Regions from separate parts of the Mus musculus genome. Here regions 2, 3, 4 and 5 are each reported to be linked to region 1. The links are microRNA targets in miRTarBase. Many come from high-throughput screens and were not tested one by one. Region 1 holds a microRNA gene; each other region holds the end of a gene's coding sequence.
Evidence for each region. The annotated mature microRNA mmu-miR-1897-5p reads CUUUGGAUGGAGAAAGAGGGGG and lies in region 1 at 1,428-1,449, opposite strand. An mRNA with a match to its seed (bases 2 to 7 or 8) in the 3' UTR can be bound and repressed. Matches are read on the target gene's strand: a 7mer-m8 pairs with bases 2 to 8, a 7mer-A1 pairs with bases 2 to 7 and ends in A, and an 8mer does both.

Region 1 (4,117 bases):
TACCAAAATTTTAAATAAAAAAAAGAGGGAAAAGAAGGAGGAGGAGGACGACGACGACGAAGAGGAGGAGAAAGAAGGAAAGGGAGGCCCCTGGCCACTGCACGCCTAGGTGACAGAGGTCCTCAGGAGCCTCCTTGAATTGCGATGATGGGCGGGTGTCAGGATCCTCAGACTGGCCTTCCCAACCACACTTCTCAGGCTGAGAAGCCCCCCTCCCCCCACACTGCTCATCCCCACAGGGCCTCGCTCCACGAATCAAACAGCCAGCCATCCTCAGCTTGGAGGCAATACGCGCGCCAAAAATCACCTGTACTAAGTTTCTGGACGGAAAAATACCTATCTTTTCTACTAAGTGCAGAGCAAAGCAAAGCAAAGCAAAAACAAACCAAATCAACCAACCAACCAACCAAACAAGCGCAACAAAAACCACAGCTTCAGCAGCTACAAAAAAAAAAAAAAAACCTTTGCTGAGCGTGGGATGGCGAAGGTAATGTCGTCCGATTTGTCATTAGAGGGCGCCAGAGAGTAGCCCAGCGCCCTAGCCAGCTTTTCTCAGCCCTCCCAGATCCCAGCCTCGTCAGCCTCTGTATTCCCTCTCAGGTAATATTTCTTGATGATCCTGCCCCCTTGCGTTTCTATCTCCCTCTATTCCAGTTGCATAAAGAATGAGGGTTAGTCATGTCCCCTGTCTCACTTTTTTAAATTCAAGCTCTCTTTCACCCCAATTACAGCACACCCCCACTCCCCCAGTCCCAACAGGGATCGAAGTGAGCCCTTCAGCATCTAAGTCACTGCGGTCTGCACAAGGATCTTAGTAGGAGAGCAATACTAGAATTTAACAGTTTTAAGATGGAAACCCGAAAATTTTCATTATTGGATTTACCTATAGGGACTCACAGACGTTTAGTTTTTGCTTAAAAAGAAACACACACACCCCTTTCATACATACATACAGCACCTTGATTACGTTCAGACCTCAAAACTATCTGCCCCAAAGAGAATAAAATGTCACTTCAATTCTGCATTTGTTAAAGAGATCTTAATTAGCATTTAATTCCCAAACTTAACACCTTCTGACTTAAATCGGCCTGTGTTAAATAACTGCTACACAGGGTGGGTATCCAGCTCTCTTAAAGGTCACACAGACACACACACACACACACACACACACACACACACACACAAAGAGGCAGAATGAGAGGAGAAGAAAGTGAGTGAGTGTGTTGGGGGGTGGGGAGAGGTAGCTAGCCTTGAATGTCAAAGTTGGGTTGCAAGCTACTTACGCGACCATGCCAGATCAGGGTGTTGTCTTGTAGCAGTTTGATTGGCAGGTAAAAAGCACTGAACGTGAAGGCTCCGGAGCCTCTCGTCAGCCCAAGCTGGATCACTCCTCACCGGACAGAACGAGTTGAAGGAGCTCGCACTTCCCCCCTCTTTCTCCATCCAAAGCACGGAGAATCCATTTAGGCTTTTCTTCGACCAGTCTCTCCCATCAGCGTCCTGCCTTCCGCGCACCACCTTACACCAGCCTCCAAGACCTAGTCTAGCTTTGCCTCTGCAATCCCCTGCAACAAGAAAAATCGTTTATGGCTTAAAACCCCAAATGGCTGATTTTTTAAAAGAGAGAGAGAGAGGGAGAGGGAGAGAGAGAGAGGAGAGAGAGAGGGTGAGGGGGAGAGAGAGGGGGAGCGGGAAGAATGCACCCAGAGAACAACAAAAAAGTCAGTTATCCTAACACTGCTCTATCCCCCACCGTACAGAAGAATAAAAAAAAAAAAACAAGCTTTATGTTTTTCAGTGGGTATTCAAAGATAATTTGATGCCATTGTTTCTGCTACAGATGGTTCTTTTAAATACAATAACACGGTTCTTTGTGCAGGCTACTCACAATAAAATCCAAAGCGTTCCCCTGAATAACCATTTTGTTCTCTCTTGTATGGGGCCAACAAAAGATTCCGTGAGGTAATGGGTTCTGTTTATTGAAGCCCATAGAATAGGGGGTTGATAAAGATTTTTTTTTTTTTAAGCAGAAGACCTTGGAAGGTCGGGCTGATCTCTTCATATTTTTTATTAAAATATTTGTCCAATACATTATTCCTTGGTGCAGCTGCAAGCTTCCTCCTCAATTCTTAATCAGCCCAAACATCTGTCTCTGGAAGGCTTTAAAAATCTGCATGCAATTGTATCAGTAGTGCAGTAACCTTATGAAACCCCAAATCTTCAGGCTCACTACAGTCTTGAAGGCAACGCAGTTTCAACTGCCTCTGGGGGAAAGGACGGTTGGGGGGAGAAGAGACAGGCAATCCCAGTTCCAGTAACTTAAGGAAATGTGGCTTTCCTCTTCCCAGGCTGGCGGACCATGCTACCAGATGAATCAGCCACACGTATCTCAACAAGGGCTTCTTCCATCTTGAGATGTGCCTCTTCCATGTGCACAGGAGGGGAGGCATGGCTCCCCTCCACTTCCCCCCCCCCACCCCCCCACTCCAAGCTGGCCTTCCTCTCTGCTAATCTAAAAATCCTAGGCTGGGAGCCTAGGCTGAGAGGAAGCAGTTAAAGGTCTCTAACACCCAGTGAATCCTACTCTTAGCTCTCTTTGATTCATTCCTAGCTACTTGTGACTTTGAAGGGTCCTGGGATCGGACTGATGGCCCACCTCCAGCCGCAGTGCCCCACTCTCAGGGTGGCTCTTCCAGCCATCTGCTCCCTTTCTTTCAGTTGCTTCCTCTCACTTAGGAAACCCAAACATGAAAACTCAAAGAGGGTCCGAATGAACCTTGAGCAGCGCCCCCACAATGGGACAGGAGACACTGCAGGGAAGTGGTGAGTTTGGGGCGGACCTTTCTGGCTACATGGAGAACAGGCTGCTCTTTAGGCCTGCAAGAGCCCAGAGCCACAGACTATACTCTCCTGACTTATGCCGTCAGTGGTGTAACAAAACCTTGGCAGCAAAATCATTTTAGGGCTTATTTCTTAATAATTTAATTTCTAAATTATTTGAGACAGGGTCTCACAAGGCAGCCCCAGTTGGCCTGGGACTCACTACACCAGGCTGGCCTCGTTGCCTCTGCCTCCAGACTGCCGAGATTAAAGGGTGCACCATCATGCCTGGCTTAAATTATTTATCGTATAAATTGTTGAGATAAGCAACCTAATAGAAGTCTGAAAAGAATAAAAATTGTGGCACAACTTTAAAAAGTTAAGCATTTCTCTCTCTCTCTCTCTCTCTCTCTCTCTCTCTCTCTCTCTCTCTCTCTCTCTCTCTCTGTATTTTTGGTACAAAGTAAAAGGTTTCCCAGTGGCCCTGGTTGTCCTGGAGCAAACTCTGTTGACCAGGCTGACCTTGAACTCAGAGATCCTCCTGTCTCTGCCTCCCCAGTGCTGGGATTAAAGGTGAAGTTAAGCATTTCTTAAGACTGGTTGAAAAAAGTGAGCCCCATTTGGTGCTGTAAAGCTCAATCCTAGCATGCATGAGGTCATAGGCTTAATCCCCATTGCTGCCAACAAGAAAAGACCTTGAGCCCGTATGAGTGTGTGTGCAGGGAGGGAGGGATCTTTATGATTGCCTATGGAATGTGTGGGTATTTTCTATTTGGGGCACTGTGGGAGTGTGTGTGGCACCATACAATCAGTAGGAACACTTCCAAGAACTGTGGGGATGAGGAAGGCAAGTGTGACTTGAATGCCCACGTTGTCATAGCAACTGATTCTGGAAAGACCAGAGTGACCATTGTACCTCTCTCCCTATGTTTCCACTATTTAGATTTACAAGGATGTGGTCAAAGTTTCCCCATTTTTTACATGGACTGAAAGAAGACTCAAGCTGATGACCCCTCTCCACTGAGGAAGCTGAGATTAGATCTGTACCATCCCAGCCCTAAGAAGTTTGAAATTAGTTGTCCCTTGTCTCCTGGAAGCAATCAAGAAGGTGTGGCACATGCTTGTTTGTGTTCGTGTGTGTGTGTGTGTGTGTGTGTGTGTGTGTGTGTGAGAGAGAGAGAGAGAGAGAGAGAGAGAGAGAGAGAGAGAGAGAAGAATGTAAGTCACCAAAAATCTAAAAAGGGTTAATGCAAGGGCTTTGCACGCAATAAGAAAAAAGTCCAACACTGAGCTAATT
Region 2 (4,117 bases), not on the chromosome of region 1:
GGGCTCCTCAGAGCTAAGGGGAAGAACCCATCCCTTGGCTCTTCCGGATTTTCTTCCTTCTCAGAAAGGCAGAGTAGGAACGAACAACACAGGATTCTGGAGGGCTGTCTGGATAAAAGGTGACACACACAAGTGCCACCTTGGGAAGCCCAGACAAGCCCAGTCCCACCCACCCCTCACACCAGGCACTGGCAATCTGGGTCCAAATTCAGAGGACATGACAGCCAACAGAGGGCTTTGGTGTGCCAGGTGGGGGCGGAAGTCACTGGGGATGGGATGAGCACCAGCCTAGAGAGCCTAGAATAGCACCCGGTGTGGGGCTCAGCGCCGCCCCAACCAACTCAACCACGGGACTCAGCCACAGCACTGCCAGGGCAGCCGAGCTCACACAGCCAAGGTGGGCACACAAAGCCTGTCTCCAGGCCCGGGGGTCAGACAAGGAGATCTCTTTGCGGGCTGGGCCCTGGCCCGCCAGCTCTGCTGGTAGGATTATATATAGAACGGGGAGACACAGGTGCCAGGCAGAAGCTGGAGGTGCTGGGAATAGAACAGTGCCCTTTGCAGTGACATAGCTACAAGGAAGCCTGCTGCGCATGTGCCAGGCCTTTGGGGCAGATCCCCGACACAAACTGAACCGAGCCGCATGACCCTGTCCCCACTTCACATGCAAGGGATCGAGTTCACGGTTCCACCAAGAAGTAAAGTGCCCCAGTACAGACAAGAGCCCAGTTTCTGGCCATTGACAGTGCTTACAGTTCAGGTCCTGAGGCGTCTGACACTCAGGCTCTAAATAAAGCACTCTTAGTTCTCTGAACTTGCCTCCCTGCCTTGGTGCCCACATGCCCACTGGCCTCCAACACATGTCCTTGCACAGAGCAATTGCTTCAGGACGCATCTGAGGGCAAGGGTGGTAGCATAGTCCAAACTTGTGGGCCTGCTGGGACTGGGCCCTGACACAGCAGTACAAGGGGCAGGTCTGGAAATGGTCATGGTAGAGAGGTGGTGCCATCTCCCTCCAGAGCTTCCCTTAGCTGGCTCTGCAGGAGGCCCTGAAATGCAGCTCCTGGAGCCTGGCTAGAAGACAGGCAGGTATGCACTGCTGCTCTGCCCCGAGGTTTCCTGCCCAGCCTGCAATTTGCTAACTTGTATGAGGCTGAGTGGCTGGTTCTGGTTCAAGGACTGTGAGCTGGAAGAAGCCCAGAGCAGGGCCTTTTCCGGGGCCTCAGAGAAGCATGCCCATGAGTCAGCACTTGGCTCTGCACGGAGCAACAGGCAAGCAGAGGGTAGGGAGGGGGGCAGAGGCTCTGAAAAGCAAACGGACTGGGCTGGCATCTCCAGGTGCCTGTATCCTCTGGTGGCTGTAAGAGCTTTGCCCCTGAATATCATTCCAGTAGCATCCTATCACAACCAGAGATGACAGAAGACTGACAATCACTCCATGATGCTTAAGAATTTATAAACTTCAAAGACACAGCCGAGCCACTATGTAGAGCCTCTGCCCAGGAGTGGCTAAGCCATTACAGGTGCTGAGGGAGGGGGTGTGGGCTGAGAGGTGGACAGAGGGAACTGGCATTTGCCTTCCACCTTGATTGTGTAACAACACTTCATTAAAATAAATCACACGGTGCATCTTTTGTTACACACTATTTTAATACCATATCAAAACACCTTGACTGATAAGCTTTTCTCCTAAGCTTTGAACAGTTTTAAAACATTTTTGTAATTTTTTTTTTTTGGATTTTAATATATAAATACAGAAACCTATCCTGCATGGGCTGATGTCATGTGTGAATGGCTAAAATATTTCCGTGCGCCTGAAAATGGGGGTTGCAGCACACAGTCCTTTAGCTAAGTCTAAATTTCCTCAGGGGGAAAAAAAAATCACAGGGGCCTTGGAAAAATGTCCAGGCATTTTTTTTTTCAGTGTATTTGTGATTATTAAATCCTCTGATGGGATCAGATCCAGGAGGAAAGGCAGGGGAGACTCGGGGCTGGGGGAGGGCAAGTGTCCACGATGGGCTCTTCATCTTCCTCTTTTTTGGCAAGGAAATCAAGGAAATTTAAGGGGAGAAAAGTGCAAAACCAAGCCAGAAAAATGGGACAGAAGAACAAGAAAACAAAAAAAAAACGAATCCCCAAAGGTAGAAAGGTTAGTGATGCAGAGAGCCAACTGGGGCGCTGGGCAGAGGGACTAACGTGTGCCCGCCTGCCCACCTGCCATCAGAGCGCTAGGGTCAGGACATGGCTATGCTTGCTTCTGTCATGAGTGGTTTTTAGCTGGGCAGCAAACAGCAGGCTGTAAACATCACAAGGGAAAACACCAGTCGACACAAGACTTTTTTATAGAATTTTTTGTTGTTTGTAAACACTTTTTAAAGACAGACCCACAACGCCTTTCAAAGGTGAAAAAGAAAATGCCCTTTCCCTCCTGGGTCGAGGGTGAGGGGAAGGATAGAGGTCAATTCATTCTTCTCTCATCCACTGGGTGTCCTCAGGGAGGACCATTTTCTGGAAGTCAGTGCAGAAGGGTGCCCTGTTCTCTCTGGTGTCCCAAGCTCAGCTCTGTCCAGTGTCCGAGGAGCCTCCTCCCAGGAACAGGGGCTGGCTGTCCCTGTGTGGGTCGGAAGAAGTCAGTCCCGCTTCATCTTGCTGAGAGTTGCCGCTCCATCGCACGGTGGCAGCAGCTTGTGTCCCCCTGAGACCAGGCTGGTTGGCTGGGGCATCTGGTTCAGTCCAGGCAGGCCCATTGGAAGCCAAACATCATGCCGGCGGCGGCATTCTGGACCTGCACTCTGGAGCTGGGATCCAGTCCCTCTGCCTCACTCTCCCTCGCTTGGCATCAGGTTTTGAGGTGAGGGTAGAAAGAGCCAATGTCCCTGATTTGCCTGACACCAGCAGCTGTTCTGGGCATTTACTTGGAATAAATAAAATAAACCTAACAAAAGAAAAAACAACAAAGAAGAGAGAGAAGAAAAGGGATCCCCAAGCCTTTGGATGTGGGATCAAGTGGGAAGGGGCTGATGGTTTTCAGTTGGATGGGACAAAAACAAACTAAACAAAACAAAAGAGAGAGAACACCCAACACAGTCCTCAAAGGCACAGGCAGGGTGGGGGCGGGATAGGGGCAGTTAAACAAGGTACCCTGGGGAAGAAATGAAGGTCAGATCCAATGGTTACACAGCACCAGAAGTGCGTGTGTGGGAGGGAGTAGCCTGCTGCTGTGACACTGTGCCTGGGACACAAGGACTGAGTGTGGCCTGGACCTCTCAGGCCGGTGGAAGAACCAGGAGTGGAAAGACCTCAGGCCATGTCTTTGCAGTGGACAATGTCTGTTCCACAGGCCACTACTTAGTGATTCTTCCCTTTCAGAACCGAGTCTCTGAGAGGTGAGGGAGGTGAGGCTGCTGTAGAGCCTGGCTGGGGGCGCCTCTGCTCCAGCCCATGCACCCTGCAGGGGACCTTCTGCCTCTCCTGAGGGGAAGGAGCCTGGTTCTATCTTTGCATGGAGTTCTCATGACTAGGTTACTATCGCTCTTTCATGCTCCCCCAACTCCCAGGAACATCCCCCTACTTCCTGGGGACTGCTCTCTGAGGAGATGGCTTCTGTCTTTCTGCTTCTGCTTTCTCCTTGGTGGGGTGTGTATCAGGCAGGCCAGCTCCTCTCCCCCAGCTCCCAGAAACTTGACTCTTAGCCCAGAGTCTCCCGCCAAGTATGGGCTCACCTTTGAGAGGAGTCGGCAAGCAGGCCCAGCAGGGTCAGTCAGCAGGGTGCTCTGGACAAGATCTGTTCACTTCAAACCATGAGTCTATGCAGCTGGAGTGGGGCATCAAGGGGAAACACATTAGCTGCTAACAACACTGTTCCTGCCAAGGGAGCCTTTCAAGGGGTTCTCAGGAAAGGCTTTCTAAATCTCTCCTGAAACGACCCCAGGGAAACATGATTATGCCCCCAATTCATTGAAGCAGAAAAAGGAAGATGATCAACAACGATATCCTAAGGGTGGGAGGGCAGACGGGAGCTTGAGTCAGTGGTTTGAGAGAGATGCTGCTTCCCAGAGGACCCAAGTCTGGTTCACACCACCTGTCTGCTGCTTCACAGCCATCCCATAAATCCAGA
Region 3 (4,117 bases), not on the chromosome of region 1:
AATACCTTCTGGATCCTGCCATCAGACAATTTGGTACAAGATGAGTACTGTGTCTTCATAAGCCACCTCTGGCTCTGGTGTTCCCATATACTCTCATTGAGTAGGTCGCCTGGCAAGGTCACTGTGGGCTTCTCTCCGTCCATCTCTTTCTGCTTTCATCATTGGGTGGCACCACTCAGACCAGGTGTCATCTACACCCTCCACTTTCCAGAAGGGCAGGGGCCCACCAGGCACCAAAACAGCCAAGCTGAGACCCAAAAGCTACCTTGTAGAAGATGATGTCTAAAAGCCACCTGTCCCCACAGGGTTTGGAAACAATACTAGTCATGAGTAACTGCCACCCCGAAGACATCACAGGAGTCTTGCCAGGCCACTCAGGTCTGCAGAACTATGTGAAAGGCCACCTTGGGTCTTGGCCCTAACACTAAGCATGGCTCTCTGGGCGCTTGGCAGCACCTAAGAAACGGTGATTCACCCAGAGCAAACACCCATTTGCGCCAGACAAGGGGCAGTGAACGCGGGTTCTGTTGATCTTCCATCTGCAAATAAGCAGGAGGGTGAGCTGGCAGTGATGGACCCAGAGCCGCTTCTGATCAGTGGCTGTCGCTGGCCTCCCTGACGCCAGAGGCTCCCACTTTGCTCTTGGCTGTCACTTGCATACACCCTTCCCCTTGGGAATCCCAGGTTGGTGCCAGGGCCAGAGATGCCACCCCACATGGCTGTGGCATCACCCCACTCCTGTTCCCAGAAAACACAGACAACAGTGAGCTGAGATTTTACCAATTTTATTTTCTAGATTTTTTGTCTTTTTTTTTTTCCTGGACCATGCTGGTCACATGTCTGTGCTGGGAAGCGCCATGGTGTGTCAACCAGAAATACAAAAAGCCAACCTGGCCACCAGCCAGAGCCCCTCAAAGCCTTTCATGTCACAGGGCAGATTCCGTGGACCCACCACCAGTCTTTGGCCTTTTGGCCAAAACCTCACCCCATCACCATGGATACAGCGGCCCTCAAGGGTCCTGCCTGGCTGGGATGCCTCAGCTGAGCTGGTGGTGCCCGTTTTGGTTTGGCAGCTTGCTAGGGAACTTGGGGGCCTACAGCACTGCAGCTGGCTTCGCAAAGGCAGAGTCTTTACATTAGCACAATGCTGTAATTAACACAAAACAAGACGGAACACTAGAACCTAACAGATTAAATGATGCACCGGAGACTCAGAGCAAATCCCCCCGGGCCAGCAGCATGGTGGCATGCACAACAGGCCGCTACAAGAAACAATATCGATAACAGAACAATCCAGGTGCCCTGACTGCTGTGATGCTATGTCCCAGATCAAATGAAGGGCCCAGCATGACAGGACGATCGCCATCAGGGTCCCAGGATCCCTGGAGGCAGACCGCCCACCTGCCTGCCAGGCTCGTGCATGGCTAGATGATACATGAGGTATTGTGAACAGGAACCTGTTTTTTTTTTTTTTTTGGAATACAGCGGTAATCACATTAAGCCAAAATAGATCACAATTAAAAAAAAAAGTACAAAAAAGGGCATCTGTAAATACACTCTATGAGGAAATTAAAACTTGAACATGGCAGTCTGACATTGTAAAACAAAACAAAACAAAACTGACCCTCCAATAGCAGCGAAAACAACGTGAAAGATACAAAGCAATGAGAATCTGGTTCTGAACGTCTGGGATCCTGGGAGTCATCGGTAGCAGCGCCATGAGAGGAGCCGTGGCCTGTCCCATGTGGTCCCACCTTCACCTCTTCCCTCACATCCCCTCTTAAGCCTCCCGCTCTCCACCTTCTGCCAAAAAGTCCTAATAGAAAGGCACAGAGCCAGAGGTGTGCAAATTACCTACTGTTGTTAACTTGGGGGCAGCGGCAAGAATGTGCCAGAATCAAACTCTTTTGGAGTCCCCTAATTTTCCTCAGTTTGGATGGCTCTCCAATGGGGCCAATTGGGTTGGGAAAGTCAAGCAGACCAAATCTCTGTCTTTGTGGTTTTTTTTTTTTAAGGACCCCCCCCCCCCCCCCGTTGCCCAATGAAAGACCAATCTCTCAGACATGGCCCTAAACCTTCTCCAGCAGGGCAGAGGTGTGCGTTTGAATCAAGGGAGATCACATTGCTTTGAGTCACACTGGTCATGGGCAGCCTTTCCCATAAATACTCTTCTGTAGCCTTAAGTATAAATTAGACATTTTAGTGTTTAAAAGCCTCCTGTGTGAGACTTAAGAGTTGTCCCCAATCTCCTTGTCCAGGTAATGCCATCATGGTTCCTACTTCCAAACACCAGCTGGCACCAAAGGATCCCTTCAACTTTGCAGGACAGATCCCGGTGGTGCGAGAACAGAGTTCTCTCTTCTTGACCCAACAAAACTTCCCAAGCACCTCATACTACCAGCCCTACAACCTGTTGTACAGCCATCTGAATGCGTGTGTGGACATCCCCATCCATTCCATTAGAACCCCTCCCCCCAACACACACCAGCAACACTGCCTCCAGCTAGCTGACCAAAAGTGCTTTGAAATGGAATGGTTTTGGAACATAGAGAAAGAAAACACAACAAAACAAACCACACACAAAAGCTGTGGGTTTAACCTGATGTGGGCAGGCTGCAGGGCCTTCAGGCAAAAACCAGCATCTCTCTAAACAGAGCTACAAAATAGGAAGGTTACAAAAATAGAATATATTATGTCACTATTTCATCCCTACCGCTGTGTGGCTGGTGCTGTGAACCTGCAGGTTGTTGGGGGGAGAGGGCACATTAAGCTGAGCCCTGGGGAGGGGGGTTGTGCCACACGCCATGAGACCACTAGAGGTCGCACTGACCATCTATAAGGTTAAGAGGTCTGCCCACCCCTGGGATAAAGCACAGGTATCAGGTAACAGGGCTGTAGGCACTGAGCAAGCCAGGGAGTGAGGCTGAGGGCCTAAGCTGTGGCTTTTCAGCAAAGCAGAGTACATTTCTCAACCTAAAAACTCTTCTACTTTAACAATGGTTTGCTGTATTTTTTTTCCTTCCTTTTTAAAGCAATGTTTCTTAAGCTTTTTTTTAAAAACATATAAAAGAATCAAAACTCCTTCTCAAGACTTCCCCTGTGTTAATCCTACTCTTAGAACAGACAAGCACATTAATAGAAAACTAGTTGATTACTGGGGTACAGAATTCTATTTTTGTAGCACCCCCTGGCTCCCTACTCTCAGGGTGATGCAGATTCTATCTCTCTCTCTCTCTCTTTAAGACAGCTTTCAGATATTTTTTTCTCTTTTGCTTAAATCAGATAGAAAGGAGAAAGATTAAGGAAAAACAACCAACAAAGAGAACAAAACTTCCTCTTCTGGTAACAACATGTCCCCAAGGGGGACGTCGTCAGGAGCACCCGGGCTGGCTCCTTCCTCTTTGCGGGTGCCACTACTTGGTGGCTCCCGCCTGCCCGGTGGCCCTCAGATGTCCACATCTCGCACGTCGGTGGGCGTGCAGGCCAGACCAGCCTCTTCCTCCACTTCCCCCTCCTCCTCAGTGGCCTTGGGGTCGACGTTCTGCTGGGCCTGGCGCAGGCTTGACTCCAGAAGGGCTTCAATCTGTTCCTGGCAGGCACGGAGGCAGTCCTGGAGAGGCGGGCGGAGATGGAGGGGGTCCTTGTTTAGCCAGAGGCCGGTGGCCAGGGCCTTGACCTGCGAGGCAGGCTTTGCTAAGAGCAAGGCTTGAGGAAACTCCCCAAGCCACCCCTAAATCCAGTGAGAGCTGCCAGAGACTAGAAAGGTACTGCTACTCTCTAGGTTCCTCCTCCCAGGCTGTACCCTGAACTTCCCCACAAGGAGCGTCTATCTCTCATAACTTTTTGCCTTGGGTGGCCTCTGAGAGAGGACAGCTCCAGCACAGGTAGGGTCTGGAAAGCATTTGCCCAGGAATAAGACTCATGAACTGAAGCCCTGCCTAGGCAGGCTGAAGCTAGGGCACTGTCTATATTCCTGAAGCCAGGAGGATTCCTGGGGAACACCTGGGAAGCCCCCACATTCAAAACTTGTGTATTGTTCCCCCTTTGTTTGATGAACACCATGGCTAGAGGATGGAAGGGCAATGGCCCCATTTCACAGATGGAGAAAGTGAGGCCC
Region 4 (4,117 bases), not on the chromosome of region 1:
AACTAAGTGGGAGGGAGGGATGGGAGATTGTGAGTTCAAGGTCATCCTTAAGAGTTGTGAAGACCAGTTTAGACCATGAGACCCTGTCTCAACATGTGCATGAGCACACATGAATGCACGCGCGCGCGCACACACACACACACACACACACACACACCCCAGGTGTTTCAGTTTTGTTTTGCACTATTTTTTTTGGTTGGCTTTATTTATGTTGCTTTTGAGACAAGATCTCACTATGCAGACCAATCGCTTTCTAGTCAGGATCCTCCTGCCCCCAGGCACCATGCCTGGCTTATTTATTTAGTTAGTTAGTTTTGGTTTTGAGTGAGCATGGGTTCCACTTTAAAAAGACTGAGTAACACATAACTCTTCAGAAAGTCTTGAAGGAAGTCAGAATAATTGCCTGGGAGAAAAAGAGGCTCACTGGAAATGAGCAGCCTGCCTTCCCGCCACATGCCAGCCGAGGCTATGGTGCCCAAATGGCCACAGCCCAATGCAGAGGTCCAAGACTGACAATCACGATGGCTTGGTCAGGCCACCCCTGACCTGTTGGCCTCAGGGAGAGCAGGCTAGCAGGATGTTCTCTCCAGTAGTGAAGGGACGGCCAGGTTGAGCTGCCCACCAGCCCAGGTTCAGATCTCTGTAGAACAATGCTGGCATTCAGAGCCTGGTCCTGACTCCAGAGTACAAGGATAGTTGAGCACCTGCTTCTGAGGCTGAACTCTGTCCTCTTACATGATCCCAAGCCCCACAGGAATAAGAACACTGTGGTCAGAGGTACAGGGCCACTTACACTAAACACACACCAAAGGCATCAAGGAAATGGGTCAGAGGGTGGGGGAAAGGGAAGGAAGGCTGAAGGCCTCAGATCATAGAGGATGCACCCTGAACAGTATGGCTTCCACAGCATTCTTTATGGAAGCCTCTGGGACCTCACAGCCACCTAGACTTTATACATCATGGCTTTTCAGGCGGGTGTAGAGAACTTCCCCTGCTTTCTTTCCCCAGGCCTTTTGTCATCTGGAGACCATAGGCTCAACAAATCTAAACCTGGCTGTCTGAAGAGATTCCAGAAAGGTCCAGCAAAAGGCAGCCAGACTTCCCTGACTCTCCCTTGCCCTCAGCATCTTCTTGTCCCCCACAAAGGGTGCAATTAGGGAATAAAAGCTTTAGAGCCCCCCCCCCCAGTCCTCTGAGGTGTGAGTAAGGATGCCCCCCCATCTTGCCTAGGCCACCTGCACTCGATCATAAGCCCTTTGGAAGCCTGCAGAGGGCTGAAGCCTCTGCCTCAGGCGCTGTGATTATCTTGTTATATCGAACACTGTACATGGTGTAGCCAGCTGTGACAGCTGTCTCGAGTCAATGCCTTTTGCACAAAAAGAAAAGAGCTGGGTAGCTGTGACCACTGTGCAGAGTCTGAAAGTCTCACTTTCTGGGTAAGTGCCTCCCTATCTAAGACTGGGATCACTCCACACACTGTGGGCTGCAAAGGAGATACTGAGAACTACCAACATAGAAGTTGGGAGAGGGGATGCGGGAGGTAGGGGAGAGGGCGAGGGTGGGGAAACTGCGGTCAGGATGTAAAGTGAAACGATTAATCAATTAATTTTGTAAAATGCGATAGCTCTTGGGAGGTGTAGGAAAAGATTAAGAATTCAAGGTCAAGGTCAGAAATGGAAGGGCGGGTTGAAGACAGGACCAGGAATACAGAGCTGTCCTCACTAGTCAGGGCTAGAGACTGGTCAGGAAATACAACTATTCACACGTAAAAGTGTGCATGCGATCCAGCTGACGGTGATCCCACTGTCACATCTGAGAGTAGGTTAGTTCCTGAAAAAATAATGATGGCAGTATTGTAACCCACTTAACAAAAGGTGAAGCCATGTGTATAAATTAAACATAAAGCACGGCCAGGCATGGTGGCTTCAAGCCCGTGTTTCCAGCACTCCAAGAGCAGGGAGACTGCCATGAGTTCCAGGCCAGCCTGTGGTGAACACTCTTATCTTTAAAAACAAAACAACAACAAAACGAACAAAAGAAGAAAGAGAAAAAAACTAAGGAGAATAAAGTAGAAGTTGAATTTTCACTTTAGAGTGGAAGTTAGTCAAACCCTGTCTCAGACAGGCAGTCGGTCAGGAGACAGCGACGCAATGCAAGCCAAGTGGCCTAACGGGGCCCAGTGAGGTCACAGCCCCACCTAAGGAACATCTGACAGACTTCCTGGCCTCAGTGCCAAGGTCAAGACAGAGTAGAGGGCACTGCACGTGTGATGGGAGCCTACAGTCCTGCCCGTGTCCTCTCACTGTCTAGACCAAAGCCAAACACCCGTGAGGTTGGCAGTCAACTCTGCAGCAGCTGAGGCTCAGGCCTGCACCTTCCTGTCGTCTGAAGCTGCCTTCTGTTGAGTTGAAGCGAGGGTCACCTGTGATGGTTCTTATTTGCAATAGTGTTGTTTTTATAATAGAGTTTAAAATAATGCTTCTTAATTTTAAAAGTATTGATTTTTCTTTTCATTTTCACCTGTTACACAATTCAAAAACCAACTTGGTGCTGAGGACAGAATCAACCTTGGGTCCCAAATGGTGTTACTTGAACTGTAGAAATAAATGCTGCTTTATACATGACTGGTAAATGTATGTCTTAGCTACTAAAACACTAGGAAGAATCTAAAATGATAGTGAATAAACGTACTCTTCTAGGTTGGAGTACATTTTTTTTTTTTTTTGGAAGTTTGGCTAGAAAAGTAAAGTGCCAAGACTGGGACATAGCCCGGGACACCTCCTGCTCTCAGCCAGGCCCATGGGCAATAACAGCAAATGCTTTAAGAAAAATAGACAGGCAAGTCAGAGAATCTTCCCCAAGTAAAAATTGAAGCCAAGGGGCTGGTGCGATGGATGACTCAATAGGTTAGCACACTACTCTTTCAGAGTACCTGGGCGCAATTCCCAGCACTTACATGATAACTCACACCTGCTTGCAACTCGTTTTAGGGGATCCAAAACTCTCACACAGACATAAACGCAGGCAAAGCACCAATACGCATAAAATAAAAATTAAATTAAAAAAGTAAAATCTTAATGGAGAAGTCATAGCTTACAAAGTGTGGCAAGCACAAGCGTCAGTTTCTGAGAGTAGCAGGCCTCTGACTGCTCTTGGCCCTGACAGCTGTGGTGACCCACACTGGTCACTCTGCACTGCACACTGCACTTTCCAGTGACACAGGACTGCAGACTGCCTGGAGCCCGTTCCTGGGGCAGTGAACAGATCAGGTCTATGAGGTCCAACAATGTAGTCCGTTCCCCTCCACACTCATTTTTCTCCGGTGACGAAGAGGTGGACATTCTTTGGAGACTGCAGCATCTGTGCCGCCCGCTCCACACCAACCACAGCCGCCAGCCTCTGGGCATCATACTTGGAATACAGCACGGTGCACGTCCACGTGGCCTCCTCTCCTCTGCTGGTGGCTCTCAGCATGTTACAGACCTCACTGTAGAAGTGAGGGTACGTTGGCAGTTCATAGAATATCAGGTTCCTGATGCCTTTTATTGTGTACCTGTGAGAGAGGAAGGGGGCATGAAGCAGCAGCAGGAGCTGTACATGTACAGGCACAGGGCTCGACATGTCAGCGGCTTCACAGACACTTGGCTCTACATGTCTGGGTGAGGGTACGAGCACAAACCACGGACAGAAAGTTACCCCAGAATTAGACGGTTTATTCTTGTGACAACGAAACTGAATTACTGATGCTGAGTTTACCATAATGATAACAGAAATTTGTATTTATTTAAAATTTTTTTTGGAAGAATATGCTGACCTGGAACTTGATAATAGATTAGGCTGGCCTCAAAACTCACAGGAAACCATCTGCCTCTACCTCCTCTTGAGTGCTGGTATTAAAGATTGATACCAGCATGATGCCCAACCCAATTTTTAAACTTGATATTTACTTTATCATCATTATTTCTTTTTTTTTGGGGGGGGGGGGCAGAATCTCATGACAGAGCCCTGGTTGGCCTGGAATTTGTAGTGTAAACCAGGCTGGCCTCAACCAGGTGAGCTACAACATCTGATTCTTTAAAAACAAATATTTCTCTCTCTCTCTCTCTCTCTCTCGCTC
Region 5 (4,117 bases), not on the chromosome of region 1:
GGGCTCTTCCCTGCAGGAGGTGGGGACAAGATCACGATTCCCTCTTCTGCAACAACGGTTCTCTCATCTCAGGTACGATCCCCGCTTCAACACCTGGATTCACTTGGGCAGCATGAACCAGAAGCGCACGCACTTCAGCCTGAGCGTGTTCAACGGGCTGCTGTACGCGGTGGGCGGCCGTAACTCCGAGGGCAGCCTGGCTTCGCTGGAGTGCTACGTGCCCTCCACCAACCAATGGCAGCCCAAAGCGCCGCTCGAGGTGGCGCGCTGCTGCCACGCCAGCGCCGTGGCCGACGGCCGCGTGATCGTGACCGGCGGCTACATCGGCAGTGCGTACTCGCGCTCCGTGTGCGCCTACGACCCCGCGCTCGACGCGTGGCAGGAGCTGCCCCAGCTGAGCACGCCCCGAGGCTGGCACTGCGCGGTGGCGCTGGGCGACAGGCTGTACGTGATGGGGGGCAGCCAGCTGGGGCCGCGCGGGGAGCGCGTGGACGTGCTCACGGTGGAGAGCTTCAGTCCCGCAGCGCGCCAGTGGAGCTTCGTGGCGCCGCTGCCCGTGGGCGTGAGCACGGCGGGTGTCTCGGCGCTGCACGGGCGAGCCTACCTGCTGGGCGGCTGGAACGAGGGCGAGAAGAAGTACAAGAAATGCATCCAGTGCTTCAACCCCGAGCTCAACGAGTGGACGGAGGACGACGAGCTGCCCGAGGCCACCGTGGGCGTGTCCTGCTGCACGCTGGCCATGCCCAACAGCGTGTCCCGAGAGTCACGGGCCAGCTCGGTGTCCTCCGTGCCGGTCAGTATCTGAACGCATTGCTTCCCAATGTGGTCAAACTGTGAGTGGGCCACCAGGAAAATATACACCATTTACTACAGTGACGGTGGTTCAAATCGATCCAGAGGAGTGCCTGGACCGCTTTAAATTCTTAGTTTAGCACCATCTACCTCAGTCTTTCCCTCCAAAAAAAAAAAAATAATAAAGGGCTGTAGCCAACAAAAGAAGCAATTTCATTATGCAGCCACTGGGTGGCCACTAGAGTTTGTTACAGGCACTCTTGCAAGGAGGCTCGCTTCCTAAATTCATAGCAGTTACACACACGCTGAGATTTTCCCACGGTGTACACGTGAAACCTACTCGTCTATACAATTTCCTATCCAAAGGAGTATTTTCCTCTCTGTTTCTTTGAAGGAAGTTGAAAATACCCACTTCACATTTGCAAATGAAAATAGTCTACATCTATAAAGATTTAATTCTATATTTCAACAGAAAATTATTCTTTGTCCCTACTTGACTGGAAAGAACTTTTAAAAAGATCTCATGACATAGCCACAAAGCTTTTAACAGGATGTGGCTGGAAAGCTATACATTCTACCTAGGAAACGACAAGGTGGCAGTTTGGGGTTAACGGTGTATACCCCCTCATTCTGTCCTTGAAGCTTCTGCCATTTTCTAACATAAAATCCTACTCTCAGAAAAGGAACAGTTTCCTGTCATTTAATTTATAGTGTAAATTCAAATCATTTGGCATTTTTCTTAGAAATATTTCCACTTGTATCTCTAATCCTTATATGGACAGAGTTGTTTTTTTTTTCTTTTTTTTTTTTTTTTTTTTTTTTCCTTTTTTCTGGATGGGCCTGGTACACACTAGTACTCTACCCGGGAGCTAACTACATATCCAGTCTTCGCTTTATTTTAATATTTGAGACATGGTTTCATTAAGTAGACCAGGCTAGCCTCAAACTCCCAGTGCCTCCTGAGTGATGGGATTAAAGGTGTGTGCCACCACTCACAGCCCTCTTTCTTATTTTAAAGTAGGATTTTACTAGGTTGCCAGGCTGCTCCTCCTGCTTCAGCATCCCCAGTAGGCTGGAATTACAGGCGTGTACCATCGGGTACAGCTTTATCTTACTCAGGTATGGTCAAATTGCCTCTAACATTAGCCCGAATAATCACCAAATCACACTATGTTCTTGGATGAATATCATTAACTGCAGCTTAGCCTTTGGCTGTACAGCCAATAGCAGTAATTTTACTGACCCCTCGTTCACGTGGAGATGATGAAGGAAATATTTGGGGTTCTCGGACTTGGCAATTACCAGATGAATAGATGGGTTCCTCACTGAGGAGTGCTGATAGCTAACTTAAAATATTAACCCCCAAAATAATGCTCTTTATGATTTACTTTTGTTAATACCACTTTGCAAATCAAACTGTATCTATTTGGTTGGTTGGTTGGATCTTTTCTTTTCTTTTCTCTTCTTTTCTTTTCTTTCCTTTTCTTTTCTTTTCTTTTCTCTTCTTTCTTTTTCTTTTTTCCTTTTTCTTTTCTTTTCTTTTTTTTTTTAGACAGGGTCTCACTATGTAGCTCTGGCTGCCCTAGAACTCATTTAGGTAGACCAAGCTGGTCTCAGACTCAGTAAGATCTGTCTCTGCCTCCCGAGTGCTGAAATTAAAGGCTTATGTCATCCTGCCTTGCAACGTGTATTTTCCTGCTACCATTTCCTTGAGTTATCTGCCAAGTTTGGAAGAAAGGGGAAGAACTGTAGTAAATGATGGATATTTTCCTTTAATATATCAGTTTATCTTCATAGTATATTTGTTTGGGGAAGGAAATGCCTATCATCCATGCCTTCTGTACAACTAGAGAATTTGGAGGGATGGAGAGGCATCTGGAACTGTATCTTGGTTATTACCAATCCCAGCCTTTCCTATTACATGTGTGTTGTAGCTGTCATGGTCATGTCTAAAGCCCAGTCCCCTTGTCTGTGGGTTAACACATCTGTAGGTGCAGCTAGACCCAAGATGAAGATATTTGAAAAAAAAATTGCATAGCAAACATGTACCAAATATTTTCTCCCCCCCCCCAGCAATACAGCACAACAGTTTGCATAGCAATTGCATTGTATTAGATATTATAATACCCTAGAAACAATATAACTTATAGAAGAAGATGTGAGCAGGGTGTATGTAAATAGTACATGCCACTTTGTAGATGGGACGTGAGTGTCACAGACACTGTATCCCAGCAGGGGATGGGGCATGTCCTGGTTCCAGTCTCCCAAGGACACTGAGGGATGGCTACATCTTATTCCAACTGTGAAAAGTGGTTCAAATAAAACATTCTTGAGATAACCTTCCTCATCACCCCTTACAAAAAGTTCTGTTTGGGGTATTCAACAGTGATGCTCAGGAACAGAGGAACAGACTATAAACACTGTAAATAAGTAAGACACCATTAGCACAAAGATACAGAGAGAAAGAGGAGTTCCATCAATTGCAGGGAAAACCTAAAGACACCTGCTCTTTTGCCTCCATGACTGTGCAGGCTGGAAAACAAAACTCTGAGCAAATATTTTGGGGATCATTTGGCCACGACTTGCTAGGGCAGCCATCACATCTTATCAGGGCAGTATAGACACACCTCTGCAATTTATGCCTACAGTATATGGGTAATTTTGAGAGAGAAAAGGGTGCTTCATTGGGGGCTACAAATAATTGAATAGACTGATGTAATTCATTTATGTGCACTAATAGCTGTGCCTCAATAGAGAATGTAGAGGTGTGTGAAAAGAAGGACCTAGGGCTGTGAATGAAATAAAAGTCAACTCGTTGTAACATTTTAGGATTTAAAACATGCGGAGAGAGACAGAAAATAGAGGGACCTCAGTTGGAGCTGGTAAGGTAGGATGTAAAGCCCACGAGGTTGCTTTCCAGAGGCAAAGCACAGCCCGATTACAGCCCCTGGGTAAATTGCAATCACTTATGTTCTGTGTTGTTAATCTGAAGACTCAGAAAATATACACAGCTGGGCTTACCACGTCTTGGTGCACTGAGGTTGATAGGATATGGTCCATGAAAGCTAGTGAATTTTTGAGCCCCAGAATAGCCTGCACTGCCATTAAGGACAAAAATGCAAGAAGATGCAATACGTTCTGTACCCTTCAAAGTCTTTAATCCATTTCCAAGTTGCTGCTCCTGGGAAGCAGAGTCCGCTTTGCAACTGCAAACTTTACATGCTTGTACTGTGGTTCCTGCTTACCCCTATTCAGTTACAGCCACAAGGTAGGACCCAAACATGTACTTGTGTTTATTTTTCTCAAAGAAAATGTCTTGTGATTT

Region 2: miRTarBase lists Znrf1 as a target of mmu-miR-1897-5p. Seed matches in the 3' UTR shown: 7mer-m8 at 2,990-2,996 and 8mer at 1,732-1,739.
Region 3: miRTarBase lists Ccnd1 as a target of mmu-miR-1897-5p. Seed matches in the 3' UTR shown: 7mer-A1 at 2,537-2,543, 7mer-m8 at 1,932-1,938, 7mer-A1 at 1,906-1,912 and 7mer-A1 at 1,473-1,479.
Region 4: miRTarBase lists Utp25 as a target of mmu-miR-1897-5p. Seed matches in the 3' UTR shown: 7mer-A1 at 2,722-2,728.
Region 5: miRTarBase lists Klhl31 as a target of mmu-miR-1897-5p. Seed matches in the 3' UTR shown: 7mer-A1 at 956-962 and 7mer-m8 at 1,151-1,157.

What each region holds. Positions count from the first base shown.
Region 1 is chr3:34,635,806-34,639,922 of GRCm38, reverse strand. It overlaps Mir1897 (microRNA 1897), which reads right to left and starts at 1,459; the gene lies at 1,381-1,459. Sox2ot (SOX2 overlapping transcript (non-protein coding)) reads right to left here. Exons shown (of 5, transcript NR_015580.2): 3 at 1,284-1,565.
Region 2 is chr8:111,621,293-111,625,409 of GRCm38, reverse strand. Znrf1 (zinc and ring finger 1) reads right to left here. Exons shown (of 4, transcript NM_133206.4): 4 at 1-3,814. The coding sequence ends at 3,757. Among named protein-coding and RNA genes, the nearest start is that of Ldhd, 7.0 kb to the left of the region's middle.
Region 3 is chr7:144,929,162-144,933,278 of GRCm38, forward strand. Ccnd1 (cyclin D1) reads right to left here. Exons shown (of 5, transcript NM_007631.3): 5 at 770-3,610. The coding sequence ends at 3,446. It also overlaps a transcript of LTO1 not described here. Among named protein-coding and RNA genes, the nearest start is that of Ccnd1, 8.6 kb to the right of the region's middle.
Region 4 is chr1:193,104,234-193,108,350 of GRCm38, forward strand. It overlaps Utp25 (UTP25 small subunit processome component), which reads right to left. Exons shown (of 12, transcript NM_145415.2): 12 at 170-3,553. The coding sequence ends at 3,310. Among named protein-coding and RNA genes, the nearest start is that of Gm31406, 11 kb to the left of the region's middle.
Region 5 is chr9:77,655,055-77,659,171 of GRCm38, forward strand. It overlaps Klhl31 (kelch-like 31), which reads left to right. Exons shown (of 3, transcript NM_172925.2): 3 at 73-4,117. The coding sequence ends at 805. Among named protein-coding and RNA genes, the nearest start is that of Klhl31, 20 kb to the left of the region's middle.